Yarrowia lipolytica: one gene and its partner. The protein of the gene in region 2 purifies or fractionates together with the protein of the main gene of each other region. This does not show direct contact. Links are inferred from orthologs where the notes say so. Each region holds a gene or a part of one and is shown on either strand. Other genes may lie near its edges.

Region 1 (3,189 bases), on a different chromosome or scaffold from region 2:
GATTTCGGCCAAAACATTTGTGGCGTCGTCACTCTCAAATTTGGACCCAGAAGCTCAAAGACAATTCTGGGACTCGCCTTCTCCGAATCAAGCGATTTCGTTGGCAGAAACTCGGACAAATCTGTCGACTTCAAGGTCACCGATGGCCACGTGACTGTCGAGGTATACCCAGGCATCTCCGAATACACAATGCCTGTGGAGAAGCTGAGAGGAGCATTTAGATACCTGACAGTGTTTGTAGCGAGCAAAACCCGTGACTGCATTGCACATGTGACATCTGTGTCTTGCAAAATGACCCAGATGCCTTCTTCTGCCTCCCTCAACAAATACTCTGGGTTTTTCCACTCCAGTGATCCTCTGCTGAACAAAATTTGGTACGCTGGAGCTTACACTATCCAGCTTGCGACCATATCGTCAGTCCAGGGTCGCAAGAGTGACTACGTCGTCAAATCTCGTGGATGGGACAATTCTGGTCATGTAAGTCAGGGCCTGGAGGTGCTTACTGACGGTGCAAAGCGAGACCGTAGCGTCTGGTCTGGTGATCGGCTCATTAGCACTTCAGTTTACCACTGTGCTTTCGGAGGTGTCAATTCGGCTGCCACCGCAACTGCAATTGATTGGATTTTTGCGGGCCAACAGCCTGATGGACGTCTTCCTTACGCTTGCAAGCCTGCTGATCTTTACGGCTCCGATACCTTCCACTTGTGGGGGTTACTGGGCTTGTATGAGCTGTGGCAACACAGTGGAGATTTCCAGCGAGTGCGAGAATTATGGGTTCCGTTCAAAAAGGGAGTGGAACTGGGTATGAGCTGGATCGACTCTGACTACGGACTGGCCAAGATTGTTTGTGGTCTTGATTGGGGCCGGTCTGTACTTCAGGGTCATTCTCTTTCTTTGAACGTGCTTCTTTATGCCTGCTTAGTGTGCTCGGTCGAGATTGGCAACCTCTTGGGAGAGCCTGAAGCTCAACTAGCTATCTGGATCAATACCGCTGAGAGTCTGCACGTGCGTATCAACGAGCTGCTCTGGGACGCAGAGAAAGGTCTCTTCAAAGATAACCTCTCGTCAACACTCTACCCCCAAGATGGCAACTGCCTGGTAATTTACTATGGGGTGTGTGATGGTGAACGGTCAAAGACTGTTTCTGAGAGGCTCTTTGCTCGTTGGAACCAATTTGGACCTATCAACCCTGAGAGTAACGGCATGATCAGCACATTTATCAGTGGTATTGAGGTTATGGCTCATCACCAAGCTGGAAGAACCCTTAGAGCACTAGCTCTTATTCGCCAGACCTGGTCTTACGCTCTGTCTGCGCCCTGGAGTGTCAAATCCAGTCTTGTGGAGGGCTTCTATAAGGACGGAACCTGCTCTTATCCGTCCGATAAGCATGACAGCAGCTACATCAGCCACAGCCACCCCTGGTCTACAGGTCCCACGAGCTTTCTCAGCTACAAAATCTGTGGACTGCGCTTCACCAACCCCAACCACGTGACCTGGACTCTTCAGCCTACTCTGGCTGATTTGGATTTCTGCATTACTGGGTTTACTTCGGCCAAGACAGGGTATCTCGTTGGAGGGTGGAAGCGGGACTCGAAGAACCTGCTCCAGATTGCAGTAAAGTCTACTCCAGGGACTATTGGCGAAATTTGTGTCCCTCTCATTCTCGGTAAGCAGCTGAAGATGACTGTCAATGGTGTCAATGTGAATCTGTTGAATCTCGAGATGGACGAAGGATGGGCGTATGTCAAGGGGATCGAGGGCGGTTGCCATACCGTCTACGCTTGGTATCTAGACTAGCAGATTGGTCTTGGTTTACCAATTGACATAATTACAAAGTAAATTTCTTTAATCGCATCTATCGGAATTGAACACACAAACTCTTCACGCCACATACATTATCTTCATAAAATTATTCCAACCTTAAAAAAATTGTGCATGCACGAGCCGTAGATTTCGATTCTCGACCAGAGCACCAGACCTATACATCTCATACACACGCCATGGTCCCCAAACGATTTCGAAAGGAGAACGCCGGCGCGCGAGAGGTCAAGAGTGAGGTTTTCGGCGACAAAAAGGCTCGAAACCAGCTCGCACACACCTCGAAAAACTACGACAACGCCAACGAGCAGCCCCGCAAGTTCAAGAACCGGGTGGCCAAGCCCAAAGACAACGGCAAGCCCAAGGTCAAGAAGGCCCGAGTGTACACAGAAAAGGAACTGGGAATCCCCAAATTGAACACGGCCATCGATCCCGAGGGAGCCAAGAAGGCACTGAGAGGCAAGAAGGGCAAGAAGTTTGTGGATAACGACCAAATGAACCTGTTAGTTAGCATTGTCAACGAGAAGATTGACTCTCGAAACGCCAGTAAGCTGGAAAAGGCCCGTCAGCTGGAGATGATCCGAGAGCAGAAGCGAAAGGAGATTGAGAAGCGAGAGGCTGAGAAGGAGGCCGAGATCGAGCAGAAGAAGAAGGAAATCAAAAAGACCAGCCGAGGCAAGAGTGCTGACAAAGTGCAGAAGAAGATGGAGGAGCTCAAGAAGAAGGAGGAGGGCAAGGGAAATTCCAAGAAGAAGAGCGTCAGCTTTGCTTAATTATCGGGAGGTATATACTATATGCATTTGTTTATCTGGAGGGATGAGGGGAGACGAGGACGGTAGTTGTGATTCCGGGAGTATTTCAAGAGGTACAGCATCTTTTGAAGTTTGAAGGTAATTGACGGTAATTGACGAGATGTCTGTCAGAATCTCTTTCTGACGAATGAGCAAGCCCACACCCTTCTGGTTTGTGCTACTCTCGGACGTGGTGTTCTCAGAAGTGGGCTGTAAGGCGTTCCATTGACTATATCTAATCAATCATACATATGAACAACAATTTGATCTTGAAGGTGGAACGGGTATATAGAGTAATCAACGAGTTGTTGGATGGGATATCTGTAGTATATATGAATCAACTGTACAAGTACAAGTACAAGTGGGAGTACTTGTACTTGTACTCTATTTTTTTTTACATCAATACATCAATACTTCCTAAGGCTGTATATACTATTGGCAACAACTGTTTAACCAGGTGTTCTCAGCTTACACAAGTATACACTTGCTACAGTTTGTACTTGTATATATAAAAATTCTGAGCTACAAGTACATACTGCAGTCACTTTTCGAGACGACGTTATCACATTCAGATACAGCA
Region 2 (3,200 bases):
TGGCTCAATGGGCAATGAAAACGGTGTTCGGAATATCCGGATTGTTCAATTGACCCAACGAGAACCAATTGCCAGTGCTCCAATTTCCAATCGCATCATTATGTGATGTTGAACGGTCCGCGTGGTCTCTTTCCCTGTGTGCAACTACCGATTTGCTGAAAATAAGCTCTGGATTGGACAAGGTAAATTCAACTCGCGTTGTTATTGGGTCAAATTTAGGGTTCCAGCTTTTCCTATTTTCTCGTCATCCCTTCCTCCCGGGTTTTCCTTTTCTCCATCAGTAGTCTGAATCAAATCACCACAATGGCTCTCTTCCCATCTGTTTCCGCCATTCAGGCCTCCTTCGACCCCAACGGCGCCCGTGCTGGTGCTTTCAACGTCCGATCTTCTCTCGACAAGACCGTCGAGAAGGTCGAGAAGAAGGCTGACGCTCTCGTCTCTGATGCTAAGGCCGAGGTCGCTAAGGCCGGCGATGCCATCAAGGCCCAGAAGGCCAAGGGCATCAAGCTCTACTCCCCTGAGTTCTACGCCACCTGTGTTGCCGGTGGTATGCTCGCCTGTGGTGTTACCCACGCTCTCGTCACCCCTCTTGATCTCGTCAAGTGCCGACGACAGGTGAACCCCGCTCTCTACTCCTCCAACATGCAGGCCTGGAGATCCATCATTGCCTCTGAGGGTATGGGTGGTATCTGGACCGGTGTCGGTGCCACTCTTATCGGTTACTCTCTCCAGGGTGCTGGTAAGTACGGTTTCTACGAGCTGTTCAAGAAGAAGTACGGTGACTTCGTTGGCGCCGAGAACGCCGAGAAGTACAAGACCTTTGTCTACCTCGCTGCCTCCGCCTCCGCTGAGGTTCTCGCTGATATTCTGCTCTGTCCCTGGGAGGCCGTCAAGGTCAAGACCCAGACCACCATCCCCCCCTTCGCTACCGGTGCTTTCGATGGTATGAAGAAGATGGTCGCCGCTGAGGGTGTTGCCGGCCTCTACAAGGGTCTTACCCCCCTCTGGGCCCGACAGGTTCCCTACACCATGGTTAAGTTCGCTACTTTCGAGCGAACCGTTGAGCTCATCTACTCTTACCTGCCCTACCCCAAGAAGGACTACTCCTTCCTTGCCCAGACTGGTGTCTCCTTCCTCGGTGGTTACATTGCTGGTGTCTTCTGTGCTATTGTCTCCCACCCCGCTGATGTTATGGTCTCCAAGATTAACTCCGAGAAGCAGCCCGGTGAGTCCACCGGCCAGGCCGTCTCCCGAATCTACAAGAAGATTGGCTTCGGTGGTCTCTGGAACGGTCTCGGTGTCCGAATCGTCATGGTCGGTACCCTCACTGGTCTCCAGTGGCTCATCTACGACTCTTTCAAGGGTATTGTTGGTCTCCCCACCGCTGGTGGCGCCCCCCCTGCCCAGAAGTAAGAGTCTCGACGAGTACTTCTATAAAGTAATTTATCCACCATCCGTGGTAGTAATAGACCAAAATTATGTTGCCATCGTAGCTTTGATTTCATAGTTTTTCGTGTACGTGGTAGCGTATATATATTTTTAGTTTCCCTGTAGTGTTACTTCTGCTATTGATAAGTCATATCATCCGGGAGCATCCCTGAGGCATATCGTTGATGTCGTGAATACACGAGTAACAGTGTACGAGTATCTTTGTCATCATTATTGTTTTCCTCTCTATAATGACCCTTATTGCTTAGTCAGCCTCTTCACTCTTAATGTATCACAGCTGCAGATAAGCTTCGGCATTGAAGCTTATGCAAAAATTCTGTCCCAGCAGTAAAAAAAAAATATTTTGTGTGAGGTAACAGGTGCAGATTTCCTCTCTCATACACACAAACACAACCATGAAGTCCAGTGCATTAAAAAAGGGCCTCAAGTCCTCCAACGGAACCAAGAAGGTTGGAGTGTCTAAGACCGCCACTAAGGTCGCTGCTCCCGCCACCTCCGACGATTTCTCCAAATTCTCTTCCTCGGAGGACGAGGAACAGGATGAGGCTGGATTTGAGAGTAGTGACGACGAAGAGGAGTTTGAGAATGGAGATGACGAGGATGAGACTATGGATGATACCCCTGCTACCGTCAAGAAGACCGCAGTAGCCAAGTCCAATCGAGCTGCTGCTACCACAAAGGCATCCAAAAAGTCTGGAACCGGCGTCATCTATCTGGGTCGAATCCCCCATGGTTTCTACGAGGAGCAGATGCACTCATATTTCAGCCAGTTTGGTGATATTTCTCGACTGCGTCTTTCCAGAAACAAGACTACCGGTGCCTCCAAGCATTACGCCTTCATCGAGTTCGAGTCCAAGGAGGTGGCCCAGGTAGCTGCCGAGACCATGAACAACTACCTGCTCTTCGGCCACATTCTTAAATGCAAGGTTGTTCCTGACGATGAGGTTCACGAGGCTCTCTTTGAGGGAGCTAACAAGACTTTCCGAGTCCTGCCAAGAGCTCAGGTTGCTCAGTACAAGAATGAGAGACCCCGATCCCGAGCAAAGTGGGACCAGCTCAAGAAAGAGTCTGCATCTCTGCTCGATGCCAAGCTGAAGAAGCTTGGTGAGATGGGTATCGATTACAAGTACACCCCCGTCTCTGACGTCCGAGTGCCCAAGAAGGCTGCTGCCGGAGTCGCCGAGGGTGCAAAGAAGAAGAAGCAGAGAACTTCTCTGGCTTAGTTTAGAAAGAAAAGTCTCATGTTGGATCTTGGAGTCGGAATTATCTTATTGTTGCATGTCTCGTATATTTATGGGGAAACATATTACTACTAGTTAGGTCTAATAAACCTGTAATATTAATAATGAGCTTTATATCTTGTAGTTGGAATCATGGACAGTCAGTCTTGAGCGTAGATACGTAATTCGTATGTCGCAAGTTATCGTTACTCTGGCTCCTTTGTTCGATGCTTGGTGCTACTGGATTGGTCTGCTCAATGCTCACGGTTGATGGATCTATGACCGATATCTAATTATTAGCTAAGTGTATTAAAATTATTATTTCCAGACGTTGGCAAAAACGTCATCCTCCTGCTTCTTGGGAGCGGCGGCATCGGCCCAGTCGTTGTGAGCGTTGTTCTGCTGCTGAGGAGCTCCACCAAACCCGCCAAATCCGCTGTTAGCCTGTTGCATGTTCCCAAAACCGCTGTTGGTCTGTTGCTGCATGTTTCCAAAACCTCCAAAGTCCCCTCCCTGTTGCTGCTGGAACTG

What was found. Proteins that work in one complex are often made in the same cells at the same time.
Region 1: the proteins of YALI1_F19106g (region 2) and YALI1_D24941g purify together in Saccharomyces cerevisiae (affinity purification with mass spectrometry; 3 studies listed by BioGRID, with this or other methods). This does not show direct contact. The link is inferred for Yarrowia lipolytica from reciprocal best matches to the Saccharomyces cerevisiae genes NOP15 and LOC1.

Annotation. Positions count from the first base shown.
Region 1 is NC_090773.1:2,492,083-2,495,271, forward strand, and holds YALI1_D24941g (uncharacterized protein), read left to right. Parts: upstream 1-2,000; coding exon 2,001-2,591; downstream 2,592-3,189. Other genes in the region: YALI1_D24918g (uncharacterized protein), read left to right, coding at 1-1,797. UniProt on the Saccharomyces cerevisiae protein: Required for efficient assembly and nuclear export of the 60S ribosomal subunit. Involved in asymmetric localization of ASH1 mRNA.
Region 2 is NC_090775.1:1,908,760-1,911,959, forward strand, and holds YALI1_F19106g (uncharacterized protein), read left to right. Parts: upstream 1-1,844; coding exon 1,845-2,672; downstream 2,673-3,200. Other genes in the region: YALI1_F19090g (uncharacterized protein), read left to right, coding at 304-1,413; YALI1_F19126g (uncharacterized protein), read right to left, coding at 2,988-3,200. UniProt on the Saccharomyces cerevisiae protein: Involved in the biogenesis of the 60S ribosomal subunit. Required for pre-rRNA processing and cytokinesis. Associates with the precursors of the 25S and 5.8S rRNAs.